Caenorhabditis elegans: one gene and its partner. The protein of the gene in region 1 purifies or fractionates together with the protein of each later gene. This does not show direct contact. Each region holds a gene or a part of one and is shown in the gene's direction. Other genes may lie near its edges. The genes, in order: hsp-75 and dnj-30.

Region 1 (7,355 bases):
CAAAAGCATATAAATCATTATTGGCAATGACAGATGGTAATAAGAATATATTTTAATCTGATCTCACATGTTTGTTAAATTCAGATGATTTTGCAAATATTCCACGAGATGCTCGAGAACTGTTTCTTCTCATCAACGCGTGCGAATATAAGCGTAAAACTGTTAATATGAAGGTTATTGTAGAGAAGTTGAAGGAGTTAGTGTTCGAAGGGTTGGTTTTAAAAAATTTGAACTTGAAAAATTATTACTAAAAGTTTGCAGAACTGTTGTCGTCAGAGCTGGTAGGAAATTGGTAACGATTAAAACACCACCTTGCCCAGCACTTTGCAGATACTTCAGTGAGTTTATGGATTGGAAATTAGTTTTTATTTAGATTATTGTTTTAAGGCGTCAAAAAAGGTGATAAAGTTCCAAATGATCTCTACATTCACCTCGAGCCAACAAGCAATGGAGACCATGTTTTCATGAGACAACGTAATCAGAATCCATTTCTTCGTGTTAAACTCAATGCAAACGATCGAATCACAAAACTTCTCGAGTTTTTGCACAAAAAATGGTCATTGGCAGGAGATTCTACCCCTATTTCAGTCACTTTATGGCCGGATAGTTCTTGTGAAATAGCGAGTTTATGCGTTCAATCGGCCGAAAATTCACCGTTCATCTCGTTGTCTATGAACAAATTGATTAAGAATGTAGAAGAGAGTAAGGAGAAGCTGGAAGCTAAGAAAATAGAAGTAACTGGAATAAAAGTGGCGACGGATGTTAATATCAGTTAGTTAATGATTCAGTTGACAAAAACATTTATTGTTTTTTCAGAAACAAAACCATCTCATACTGTAACTTATCCAAGACCTTTCACGTTAACCGATGAAATTATTGCGGAAGGAATAAATTCTAAAAATGTTCGAAATGCAATTGTGGCGGAACTTTTTTGTGTTGTAAGTTAATTTAACACTCTTATTATCAGTTTTATTTGTTCTATTTTTCAGTGTGGCCGTAAAAATCCAATCCAATTAAGATATCAAGTTCATAACGAGAACCAACCTATTCAAGCATCTGAACCCTGGAAAGTAATGATTAATCTATTAAATAGAGGATACGGAGATTGTTTGGCGCCGAGTAAGACCAGAAAAAGAGACAAACCAACGGCAGATTCGTGAGTCGCTTTTTCCTCCGATCCGAGTATTTTCAATTTTCAATCCGAGTCAAGAGTGTCATTAAAAAATTAACATTTTTGGGAACATCGAGAGATCAAAAAATATTTAGTAAATTAACAATAAAATTAAATTTTTCATCAAATTTTGATCATGTTGATGAAAAACATAGCTGCTAAAAAAATGACAAAAATTTAAGATATTTTTCTAAATATCGAAAAAACGAAATTTTTCGATGTTCCAAAAAGCTGTTGTTCCAAATATCATTACAGAGAACCAAGTTCGTCAGCTTCGAAAAAGAAAAAATGTGATGATACTACTTCGGATGTTCCTGGCAATCCAGTGAGCGACATCGTTCGACAAGAAACTGAAGACTTTGCATGTCAACTCGCATTTCTTAAAAAGACAACTCGAAAGAAGACTGCTCCAGCAAAACGAAAACCAACGAATCCAGTACTTGCAACAGTTACTCCTCAACTACTGATTCGTCCGCCACCCGGAGAGTCAAGTTCCGCTCCTGCGATTCAGGATCTTATGGTGAAACAAGTGTTCGCAGCACCAAAAACTACAATAATTCCGAGAAGAACCTCTACATATTCGGAAAAGAAATCTCTACTTCTATCAAATGCTCATAAAATATCAGAACTCACTGCAACTTCTGACTCACCAAGTACAAGTACTCAAGGACCAACTGATTTCTCATCTGTCGTGTTCTCTCCAACAAAACGAAGTGCAGATCCTGAATTGCAAAGAAAAAGAAATGATGCATTTTTATCATCTCTACGTACACCAGATCCAACTCCGAAGGTATGCAATGAGACAATATCGAATTGTAAAAAAATCTTCTAATTTTTCAGAAAGACAGCATTATGCAACAATATTTCGGTGGAGATCTATCAATGTCACCTGGATCGACACGACATGCATCTCATTTGGAAACTCCTGGAGGAAATAACACGTAAGTAAAGAAATAATTTGATAACAAATAATACAACTGATTTTTAGAACAATTGACTTCACCGACATGATGTACCAGAATATTACGAATCACGGAGATCTGACTACAATTTCTAATCCGGCTCTGCATTTCTCAGTTAATGAAGTTCACGAAAAATATCACGATATGATTTCTTCATCGCAAGATAGTCAGGATTACATTCTATCGCACTTTCAGAAGAAGAAGACCACGCCCAAGAAGAAAAAATAGTTTTTTTTGCTTTCTGATATTGAATCTCACGAATTGTATTTTCTTAAATATTCCATATTATTCATTTTCTGTACTACACTCAATTTTCCATTGAATTTCAGGTTTTTACTTTTTGCATTCCTTAATATTTCGATTCTTGCTTCATAAAATTTTTTTATACTGTTTTATATCTGCCAAGAGTTGTTTTATGAACTGGTTTGTTTTCCAAATATCATTATCTCCATCCTATTGCCTTTCCAGATCCAAAAATCATTTTATTAGATGTCGCTCCCGGTACGGATGTTAACTGGCAGGATCATGCGAACAATGAGATACGTAGCTCCCATCACCGCTTCACATTTCACCCCTTCTGTACCAACACAACGGAGATGGATGGCTTCTGAACCACAGAGACATGAATTCCAAGCAGAGACACGGAATCTTATGGACATTGTCGCAAAATCCTTGTATTCACACAGCGAGGTAAATATTTTTTAAAAAGTTCAATATAGCCCAGACACAAAATTTTTTGAATTTTGCGTCAAAAGTACGGTACCCGGTCTCGACATGAACTTTGACAAATCGTGCGAAAACTTCAAAAAAGCGATAAAAATTCTGCAAAAACGAACATTTCAAATTACAGTACTCTTTAAAGGCGCACACCTTTTTGTCTTTAACAAAGTTTGTCGTGTCGAGACCGGATACCGTATACTTCGCGAAAAAAATTGGCAGAATATTTCCTTATTCTCAAAAAATATAGGAAATTGATGTATTCCACAAGTATTTAATTTTTGTTTTAGGTATTTGTTCGCGAGCTCATTTCCAATGCTTCGGATGCTCTTGAGAAGAGACGATACGCAGAATTGAAAGGTGACGTGGCAGAAGGTCCAAGTGAAATTCGAATCACGACTAACAAAGACAAACGAACAATCACATTTGAGGATACCGGTATCGGAATGAATCGAGAGGATCTTGTAAAGTTTTTGGGAACTATTGCAAAATCAGGATCGAAGGATTTCATTGAGAATGTGAGGATAAATTCTGATAAAACAATGAAAATCATATTTGTTTTAATTTATAGAACAAGGAAAACGCTGAAGCAGTTATTGGACAATTCGGAGTTGGATTCTACTCAGCTTTTATGGTTGCTGATTCCGTTGTTGTCACGACTAGAAAAGTTGGTTCATCGGATGCCGATGGCCTTCAATGGACATGGAATGGAGACAACTCGTATGAAATTGCTGAAACATCCGGGCTTCAAACTGGAACTAAAATTGAGATTAGACTGAAAGTTGGAGATTCGGCAACCTATGCGGAAGAAGATAGAATCAAAGAAGTTATCAATAAATATTCGTATTTTGTTTCTGCGCCAATTTTGGTGAATGGAGAGAGAGTGAACAATTTGAATGCAATTTGGACGATGCAGGCGAGAGAAGTTAACAAAGAAATGCATGAAACATTCTTCAAGTTAGTTAATGTAATTTTATTTTATAGATTATTAAATTTGATATTTCCAGACAACTCGTGAAAACGCAAGGAAAACAAGAAATGTATACTCGTCCACAATACACAATTCATTTTCAAACTGATACTCCAGTATCTCTTCGATCAGTTATCTACATTCCACAGACTCAATTCAACCAGCTAACGTTCATGGCTCAACAGACGATGTGTGGACTCTCACTCTATGCAAGACGAGTTCTTATTAAGCCAGATGCCCAGGAGTTGATTCCAAAGTAAGAGTTTTCAAATTTAAAACCTCTGAAACTCGAGTATTTGTAGTTATCTTCGTTTTGTGATTGGAGTTGTCGATTCGGAGGACATTCCTCTGAATTTATCCCGTGAAATGCTGCAAAATAATCCAGTTCTCCGTAAACTTCGTAAAATTATCACCGACAAAATCTTGGGCAGTCTTCAATCGGAAATGAAAAAAGATCCTGTGAAGTACTCGGAATTCTTCAAAAACTATTCCTTGTATTTCAAAGAAGGAGTTGTAACTGAACAAGATCAAGGAGTGAAGGAGGATGTTGCAAAGTTGTTATTATTTGAGTCTTCTTCAAAGAAGGCTGGAGAACTAACAAGTCTTGGAGATTATGTAAAGAGAATGCAAGAAGGACAGAAAGAGATCTACTATATGTATGCTAACAAGTACGTTTTTCTTGAAAGTTTAATGAAAATCAATGAGTTTGTCAATTTTCAGCCGTCAACTAGCTGAATCATCTCCTTATTATGAAGTCATCAAGTCACAAAATAAGGAAGTTCTGTTTCTTTATGATCCAGCCGACGAAGTTGTGTTCTTGGGTCTTGGGCAGTTTGGAATGAAACAATTAGTTCCAGTTGAAAAGTGGGCTCAAGAAGAAGCTGAAAAGACTGGAACTGATGATAAGAAGGATACTAGTCAGTTTCACTAATTTTTTAAGAATTTTTTTGAATTTAGAAGTTTTTACTGTTCATGGAAAAAACGAAAGAAAAAACTCCAATTCAAACTCAATAAGTTATTTATTCAGAAGATTTCCGAGATAATGAGAAGAAAGAGCTCCTCGATTGGATGAAAGAAACACTTGGAAGTGTTCGAGTTTCTGAAATTTCTGGTAAGTTTTTTTCTAAGCGAATTTTCACAACCAAAAAAACTAATTTCAAAATGTCATAATGTCCCGAAACGCGTAGAAAGCTATGCTTATTAATAATATTGTTTCTAGGCAACCATCGTCCGAGTGAGCATCCAGTCATGGTGACTGTGCTCGATATGGGAGCGGCTCGTCATTTCTTGAGAACCGGAGAAATCAAGGATATGGAGCATTTAGTGTACTTCAAACCACATGTTCATGTTAATTTAACACATCCATTGGTCAAGGCAATGTACAAAATGAGAAAAACAGATAAGGAAACCGCGGCTATTTTGGCTGAGCAGGTGAGGTTTTAAAAGAAAAATTTCGTTAAAAAAGGGTATACCCGGGTACCCGGTTTCACCACAAGTTTTTTTTTAATGCGGACAAGTGTGAGCCTTTAAAGAGTACTGTAATTTCAAATTTTCGTCGTTGCGGAATTTTTATCGCTTTTTCCTAGTTTTTGGTTAAAATTTGTGTACTATGTATATTCTTATATTGGAGTTTTGATTAAATTTTCTTCAAAAAACTGAAAAATTTATCAATATTCCGCAGCAACAAAAGTTTGGAATTACAGTACTCTTTAAAGGAGCACACGTTTTCATATATAGCAAAATAAATTCGTGTTAAGACCTGGTACCATATTTTTGGCTCAAATTTTCGCGTGTGGCTAATAATAAGGTTAATCGCAAACTTTTGCTTTTTTAAAATATCCTTTATCAAAGTTGAGTTAAATTTCAAATCTATCACAAAATAATCAGTTTGCGAAAATTGGGAAATTTTTCAAAAAACTTCCCGTTTGTTGACGTGTATTTATTATGTACATACACCACAGTTATGGTTTCTATGTTTTCTCTGTGCTCTCTCTCATATTCTTGTGTCTTTTCCTGAAATTTTTTTTTCAGATTTATGACAATGCTCTAATCACAGCTGGATTGATTAAAGATACAAGCCGAATGGTCGGAAGATTGAACAAATTATTGACTTCCTTGGCTGGAAATAAGGGTACAAGCACCATTTTGACGCCATAATTTCCACATTTATTTTTGTTTTTATTGTAGTTTTAGGATAGATATCATAATAACTTATTCCTTTTTTGTGTTTTTGATCTGTTGAACCTGTGCCTTTTCCCATACATTCGTTGATTTTTATTCTCGATTTTTTCAAATTAGCTAGATTTGGTTTCCAACCAATTCAGATTATTTTCTAATTTATCTTTTAGGTTAATAGTTTTTTTACAAGCAGTAGTTTCAGATGAATGGAGTAGTTGCTGCTCTGGAAGAAATGCCACCGGTAACTCGGTTCTACACAGGAGCCTGCGTGCTATTGACAACCGCTGTGGTAAGTTTTTTAAAAGAAACATAAAAATTTATATTTTGAAAAAAAAACTGTCTCTACCCAAATTGTACAAAAAATGTTACAGCATTTGGAATTCGTGACACCATTCCATTTATACTTCAACTGGGAGTTGATTATCCGAAAATATCAATTCTGGCGCCTGATCACATCATTCTGCTTTTTCGGATCTTTTGGATTTTCTTTTCTTTTCAATATGATCTTCACATATCGATATTGTATGATGCTGGAAGAAGGATCGTTCCGTGGAAGAAGAGCTGATTTTGTATACATGTTCCTTTTTGGAGCCGTTCTAATGGTAATTCTATGAGTTTTTACTTGTTTTGGATATAATAAGAAAATAAGTCTATTTATGTTAGAATATTAATTATTTTTTCGATGATCTAGTGAAGGTGAAAGTATTTGAATTTTAACATATTTTTTTTAACTGATGAAATATTTAGCAATTTTTCAAACTTATCCATTTTCTTTGAAAATATTGAAATGTTTCTTATTTTTCAGATTCTATCCGGAATCTTTGTACAAATTCTATTTCTTGGACAAGCATTCACTATTATGTTGGTCTACATATGGAGCCGTCGTAACCCAATGATTCAAATGAACTTCTTTGGTGTTTTAACATTCACAGCTCCGTATCTTCCATGGGTTCTTCTTCTTTTCTCACTTTTACTCGGAAATAATGCTGTCGTTGATTTTATGGGTAAGGCATTTCATGAATAATTGTTTTATATTGTCATAATCTTTAATGTTGCAAAAGATTATACATTTTCGTTTAAAAGTTGAATTATTGTTCCAGGAATTGCATGTGGACATATATATTTCTTCTTGGAAGATGTTTTCCCATTCCAAGAGCACGGAAAACGATTCCTGAAAACTCCACAGTGGCTTGTATATTTGTTTGATGAACGCCGACCGGAACCTCTGCCTGAAGATGAAAGACCCGGTGGATTTGAATGGGGTGATGAGCAACCGGAACAAGAACAACATGATTAATTATACAATGTTTTAGTATTTTTGAAGTTAGACATCTATTTCGCGACTGAACGTATAATT
Region 2 (7,276 bases), on another chromosome or scaffold:
TCTCGAATGGAATTGATGTGTATACGGTGGCAACTGCTTATGTGTACTTTGAGAAAATTATTCTTAAGGTTAGAAAGAACGAAATTGCAACGATTAAGCTTAAAAAGTGATTAAAAAGCTCAAAAATTGCGAAAATCTGAAGAAAAAACCTGATAATGGTTAAAGGGAGGCCGCATTTGGAGGTGGATGGGTCTCGCCGCGAATCTCGTTTAGCAATTAAGCTATGCGCCTTTAAGGTTACTGTAGGCAATTTTCAAACTTTTTAAATGCATTTTCTAGTCGATTTGAATCGAAAATCTTTTTTTTCCATTGAAAATCTAAATTTTTAGAGCGACTTTTAGCCCAAAAAGCTTTAATCTTAGTTTATAATCGACATAATGCAACAAAAAATAGAAAATAGCATAAATTACGTCTAAAAAATGATTTAAAAGCTTAAACTTTGAGAAACTGTCGGAAAATTCAAGAAAAAATCTGAAAATGGTTAAAGGGAGGCCACATTTGGAGGAGGATGGGTCTCGCCGCGAATCTCGTTGAGCAATTAAGCTATGCGCCTTTAAGGTTACTGTAGACAATTTTAAGTTTTTAAAACAGTTTCTAATCGATTTAAATCGAAAATCTTTTTTTCCAGAGAAAATCTAAATTTTTAGAGCGAATTTTAGGCCAAAAAACTTTAATTTTAGTTTATTATCGACATAATGCAACGAAAAATAGAAAATAGCATAAATTACGTCTAAAAAATTATTTAAAAGCTTAAACTTTGAGAAACTGTCGGAAAATTCAAGAAAAAATCTGAAAATGGTTACAGGGAGGCCACATTTGGAGGAGGATGGGTCTCGCCGCGAAATTTGTAAAGCAATTAGGGTATGCGCCTTTAAGGTTACTGTAGGCAATTTTAAAAATTTTAAAATATTTTATAGTCGATTTTAAGCTAAAATCAGTTTATAATTATTATCAAAGCTGGTTTTTTTTTAAATTTCAATTTTTTTGAGATTTTCATATCTATTTAAATCTAAAATCAATTTTTTTCCAGGGTCTAATCTCAAAAGTCAATCGAAAATGTGTCGCCGGAGCCGCTCTCCTCGTCGCCCTTAAAATGAATGATTACAAGAAGTCTACGATCAAATCGTACATCGAACAGGCCGAAGATCAGCTCCGCGAGCCGAAATCCGATCTTTTGGCTTATGAGCTTCCAATTTGCTCGGTGCTCCAGTTCAGGCTTCAGCCAACAATTGATGAGATTCAACCACATGTAGATAGATTGCAATTTGAGATGTGAAATATTGTTATTATGTAAACGCAGAAAAATGTGCTTTTTTGAAATCGTGGTGCAAGCGCGCTCCACGGATAATAGTTGGGTCTCCTTAAAGGTGGACTACGCTCAGTGGAGAAATTGCTTTAAAACACGCCTATGGGGCCACAATGACCGAATATCATGATATAAAAATTCAAAAAAATTTTCTAGATTTTATATAATTTTTTGAAAATTGGAAAAATAACAGTTTTCACCTAATTATTTTTGAATTTCCACCAATCGGATTCGTTCGATTGAGCGCGCTTGCATTATTTTTATTAATTAATTTTATTTATTCTCGTTATTTGACTGATTTTCTTCATTTTCTATGTTTTTTCCTCGGAAAATGAAAGAAATAAAAAAGACAAACGCAAAATGTTTGTTAAAAAGTAATTGAAAATGAGTAAAACTGTGAATATACTAATTTCAGGCTTGTTGTCGTCGGAACTCAGAATATCAGAGTTTTAATCATTTTCAATTCAAAAATAATTGGTTGAAAACTGTGATTTTTTCAATTTTCAAAAAATCATAAAATCTAGAAAATTTTTTTGAATTTTTTTATCATGATATTCTGTCATTGTGGCCCCATGGGCATGTTTTAAAGCAATTTCCCCACTGAGCGTAGTCCACCTTTAAGTATTGGCGAGAAAACCGTAATTTCAAAAGTTTTCAATGATTTTTCGTTGGTTTCGAGGTGAAAATCATCGAAAATTGTTAAAAATATTTAGATTTGGCCGCCATTTCTAACGAGACCCAACTTTTAGCAGAGGAGCGCGTTTGCAACTTGGTTTTAAAATACGGATTTTTCCGCGTTTAAATAATATGCAATTAGTTTTTATGTACTCAATCCATGACCCTTTTGAGATTATTTCTAGTCGACATTTTTCAAATTTAATAAATTTGGTTTTTTTTCCCTTATTTTTTCTTCAGATTTTCGATTTTTTTGCGTTGAATGTCGCTATTGTCTATATATTTTTTTCCTTAATATTTTTCCTAAAATCTAATTTTAAAAAAAAAATTTTTTCCAGCAAAAAATGTCCCAGTTTGAGTCATTTTATCAGGATGTAAGTTTTTTTTTTCAAAAAATTTGAAAAAAGTGTACATTTCTTGGTTTTTCTGGAATGTTTCGAATTTTCAGACAGTTTTCCGCGAAAAAATATTAATTTTATGTGGAAATATCGATTTTAGGGCCAATTTTGAAGTTTTAGCGAGTTTTTTCAGCTGGCTATCAATTATAAAACTATAAAAAAAATAAAATTTCGCCAAAACTTTGAAATTGGCTTCAAAATCGCGAATTCCAAATAAAATTTTTATTTTTTAAAGAAAACTTGGCTGAAATTTTTAAAAATCCAAAGAAAAACCACAAAATATGGCCAGAAAATGCGCGGGAATTCAAAAATAATTCTCAAAAATTTTTAAATTCAAGAGAAAAATTTGAAAAAAAACCAATTTTTTTTTGAAAAAGTTGAAAAAAACCATTAAAAATTTTAAAAACATTTTTAAATTTTTCCAGCTAAAATCCACGGAGCAACAGGACGCGGCTCTTACTTCTGAGCAACAAATCGAGCGACTTTTGAAGCCCGGTTCCACATATTTGAACCTTAACCCATATGAAGTGCTCCAAATCGATTTGGACACGGATATCGAGGCGGCTAAGAAGAAATACAAGAAGCTCTCACTACTTGTGCATCCGGATAAAAATCCAGATGATCGAGAACGTGCTGACAAAGCTTTTGATATTGTGAAGAAGGCGATTAAGCAAATGGAGGATCCGATTGAGTTGAATCGATGCAAAGATTGTTATACGGAGGGAAAAGCTCGGCTTGCTATTGTGGTACGGAGCAACTATGAAGATTTGCATGGAAATTCTGAGAAAATTTTTTAAAAAATTGGATTTTTCTGGAAAAAAAAAATGCCGAAATTTGGATTTTTTTTTTCGATTTTTTAATCAAAAAAAACGAAAGAAAAATCACAAAAATTCATCCCATTTTTCTCATTATTTTGTAGTTTTTCACTGAAAATCGAAAAATCCAAAAAAATTTTTTTTTAGAAAATGAACAAAAAAAATTCTAATTTATGTTGATGTGAAAATAAAATAGAAAAAGCCAAAAATTTGCAATTTTCGCAAAATATTTTTTGAACAAATCTGAAGACAATTATTTTTTATATTTTTTTTCTTCAAAAAATGAGGAAAAAAAACTAGAAAAAAACAAAATTACTGATATAAACCAAAAGCGTATTATTTTAAAAATAATTTTCCAAAAAATTGAAAAAAAGTAAATTATCAAAAATTTACTTTTTTAACGTTTTTTTGGAAAAAAATCGTTTTTTTCTTGATTATTTTGTGAAGAAAACGTAGTTTCGCAAAAAATTTCATATAATTCGGAAATTTTTCGTTTTTTTGTAAAAATTGTTTTTTTAAAATTCACTCGAAAATCCAAGACCACGAAAAAAATTAGTTTGTATCCTAAAAATTAAAAAAAAAAATTTTTGAAGCAAATTTTAATCAAAAAATTATGTTTCTTCGAAGAAAAATTGTAATTTTATACAAAAATTATGAAAAGTGAACGAAATTCGAGGGAATATATATATATATATAAAATTTTAAAAAATACATTTTTCAATTTTTTTGTTGAAAAAAACCAAAAAAAAACCACAATCCACAGTCTCCTCGTCATCGAAAGCGCACAAAAAACTGCTTACTGGCGCGTTTCGCGTTTTTGCTAGCGCATTTTGTGGATTTTCCGAAATTCAGAAATTACGCGGAAAATAGGCTAGAATTCCAAAATTACAGCCCCGCCTCTTTTGATAATTATCTTCAGGATGAAGAAGATGATCGCGAAGGTGGGTGACTTGAAATATACAAGAAAAATATGATTTCTTTAGAGAAACACCATTTTTACCGTTGATTTTTTAATATCCCTACTCCTCCTTCAGTTTTTGACCAAATTTTCTCTTTTAATGGTCTTTCATTTCATTTTGTGCTAATAAACAAATTTTAAGTTCGAAATCTGCGAAAAAATTCGTTTCAACGCTAAAAAACGACGAAGTTTATTTTTCAACACTAAAAAGATTCACTCCCTCCCCCGGCTGCGCCAAGGTGTGAGCAAGTGCGCCCCAGCCCAATTCGACGCCGAGGAGACTGTGCAATCCTACCTCCAAGATCGTTAACAAAAATCAAAAATTGTATATTTTTTTTCTCAAAAATTCATTTAAAAAAACCGAATTTCTTCCAGATGTCGGAGAAAAAGCGAAAATTGCGAAAAGATGGAAAAGAAGATGTGATTGAAGAAGATGATCCAGCTGGATACAAGAAAGCTCTGTGGATTACTGTAACAAAAGTGTTTGCTGATCGAGAGAAGAAGAGAAAGATGCTTGAAGAGAGGGCGAATGAGGAAAAGTACGGGAAATTGATAGTAAATTGGAGAAAAACCGAATTAGGATCAATTTCTAATTAGAAATTGAAAAAAATTGAAAAAATTGAAAAAAAATGGAATAGAAAAATCGGAAATAACAAAGAAAAATTGAGATAAAATCACAAAAATCCGAGTTTTCAGAAGAAACAAAAGAAGAAAAATTCCAATTTAAAAAAATTAATTTTGTAATTTTTTTGGTTTTTTGCTTAAAATCAAGTAAAAAATGTAAAACAATTTTTTAAAAATTAAAAAAAAAGTAAATTTGGCAATTTTACTGTTTCTTTTTTAAGAAAACTTTTTTAATTTTAAGAAAAATAAAATACAATTGATTTTTCAGATATTTATTTCAAAAAACTGAATAATTTTTAATAAAAAATGCAAAAATTGAACAGATATTAAGAAAAAAATTATTTAAAAAAAATTGAATTTGCCAAAAATTTCTGAAAATTTTCAGGTTTATTTATATCAAAACCATATATTTTTTGAAGTTTTCCTGAAAATCCTTGAAGAAAATAAGATAAATTGATAAAAATCCGACTTTTTTAAAAGAAAAATACAATAATTGGTAATTCTCATTTTCCAAAGCGGAAAACCTCAAAATTTCGGGTTAAAATATCTAAAATCTAGAATTTCTTGGGAAGTTTCGAATTTTGCTCTAAAAAATGTTGTATTAAAAATTACATTTTTCTGAAAACTCATTTGAAAACAATTTTTTGCATTCAAAAATTGCCTTTAAGAAAATCACAAAAATTTTTCAGACGCCGCTCAACTGAAGCGTTAGTCCAAGCAGCAGAGAAGCGTAAACTGGCCGAAGAATTCGCGAAAAACTACGAAGAATCTCGTGACGAACGTTCCGGAAGCTGGAGAAATTTCCAGGCGAAAAAGGCGAAAAAAGAGGATAAGGGAAAGACGTTGAAGGGTGCAGCATTCAAACCTCCGAAAGTTAAACTTCAGAAATAATTATTGATCTCTTTGAATTTTTCTATTTATTCTCATTCATTATATTCCCATCATTATTGTGTAAAATCTCAACAAGTTTTTGTAAAAAATTATTTTATTCGAATTTTTTTTGTAAAAAAACCATTAAAAACCTCCAAAAAATTACGAAAACTGGAAATTTTGAAGTTTTAATTTTTGTTTAAATTTAATTTCCGGATATTTTCAATTTTTTCCAAATTTATTTGAAAATTCAAAAAAAAACGATAAACCAAATTTAAAAGTAAAAAGTAAAACGTATTCCCATCATTAATACAAGAGTGGAATTGCCGTTCGGCAAATTTTTATCGGGAAATTGCCAGTATGCCGATTTGCCGAAAACTTCAGTTCCGGCAATTGGCCGATTTGCGGGAAATATTCATTTTCGGCAATTTTTCGATTTGCCAAAAATTTAAATTCGTGCAATTTGCCGGTTTGCCGGAAATATCAATTCGGGCAAATTGCCAATTTGCCGGAAATTTTGAATTCCGGCAAATTGCCGATTTGCCGGAAAAAAATCGTTTGCCGCCCACCTCTGCATTATTGTGTAAAATCTCAACAAGTTTTTTGTGAAAAATTTTTTATTATAGTTTCCTTGAAGAAAAAAAATTTCGGAAAAAGTAGAAAAAACCCGTAAATCAAAAGTAAAGAGAGAAGAAATGATGGTTGAATGCATTAAAAACAAACAAAAAATAATATAAAGATCATCGGTTTTGTCATGGGAAATTGGGATGAAATGGGCGCGGAAAAATCTCGCTCAGACGACCTTACTGGGTCTCCATGAATTCTGAGGATTCGTCGCCATTTGCATGTATACCGGTGGTTGTGGTGGCGGAGCAGTTGGTGGCTCGAGCAATGGACGTGTTGATGGCTCGATTGGGTTCTGAAAAATTTGCGAAATTTTTAAGTGAAAATTTTGGATTTTGCGCGTCAAGTTTGGTTCATTACGGAAGCAAAAAAATTCTGAGAATGCGTATTGCACAACATATCTGACGCGCAAAATATCTCGAAGCGAAAACTACAGTAAATCTTTAAATGACAACTGTAGCGCTTAAATGGACACAAGGGCTACAGTAATCATTTAAAGAATTACTGTAGTTTTCGCTTCGAGATATTTTGCGCGTCAAATGTGTTGTGCAATACGCATTCTCAGAATTTTGTATTTCTGTAATAATTGCTGTGTTTTTTTGGTTGCTTTCAAAAAGAAAAGCTTTTTTAAAAGGAATTTCTCAATTTAAAATTTTCTTTTTTTTGCGAAAAATACTCACCTTAGATTGTTTTTTGGTACTTGTGAATTACATGCCCTCATTTTCAAATTAAATTAAATTGTCATTAATTTCTCCATATACATTTTTCATTTTTCCTCTTTAGTCTTAGAAAATGTTTTTTTTCCTAACAAGGGAACCCCGTACTTGATCCGTGGAAAGGACAAAGAAAAAGTATACCAATCGAAAGTTCATGTTACTGGCTACTCGAAAACAAAATAAAATTCTGCCAGTTTTGCCTATAAATCTGAAATTTTTGCGTCTGAAAATTGGTCTTTGCGCCTCATGATTTTCAATACTTTCTCATTGTCTTTCGTTGAGAACTATAT

Evidence for each region.
Region 2: the proteins of hsp-75 (region 1) and dnj-30 fractionate together in Caenorhabditis elegans (co-fractionation; one large-scale study listed by BioGRID). This does not show direct contact.

The regions. Positions count from the first base shown.
Region 1 is NC_003281.10:7,221,975-7,229,329, reverse strand, and holds hsp-75 (Histidine kinase/HSP90-like ATPase domain-containing protein), read left to right. Parts: upstream 1-2,622; coding exon 2,623-2,823; intron 2,824-3,140; coding exon 3,141-3,368; intron 3,369-3,421; coding exon 3,422-3,807; intron 3,808-3,857; coding exon 3,858-4,076; intron 4,077-4,122; coding exon 4,123-4,488; intron 4,489-4,540; coding exon 4,541-4,737; intron 4,738-4,847; coding exon 4,848-4,931; intron 4,932-5,039; coding exon 5,040-5,251; intron 5,252-5,851; coding exon 5,852-5,977; 3' UTR 5,978-6,097; downstream 6,098-7,355. Other genes in the region: R151.8 (Myb-like domain-containing protein), read left to right, coding at 1-36, 85-211, 262-338, 388-771, 817-938, 990-1,156, 1,427-1,961, 2,012-2,112 and 1 more; der-2 (Derlin-2), read left to right, coding at 6,201-6,287, 6,370-6,600, 6,804-7,002, 7,099-7,295.
Region 2 is NC_003279.8:2,716,519-2,723,794, reverse strand, and holds dnj-30 (J domain-containing protein), read left to right. Parts: upstream 1-2,319; 5' UTR 2,320-2,325; coding exon 2,326-2,355; intron 2,356-2,804; coding exon 2,805-3,125; intron 3,126-4,527; coding exon 4,528-4,691; intron 4,692-5,465; coding exon 5,466-5,667; 3' UTR 5,668-5,768; downstream 5,769-7,276. Other genes in the region: Y71F9B.6 (Cyclin N-terminal domain-containing protein), read left to right, coding at 1-68, 1,031-1,276; lin-17 (Frizzled-4), read right to left, coding at 6,440-6,565.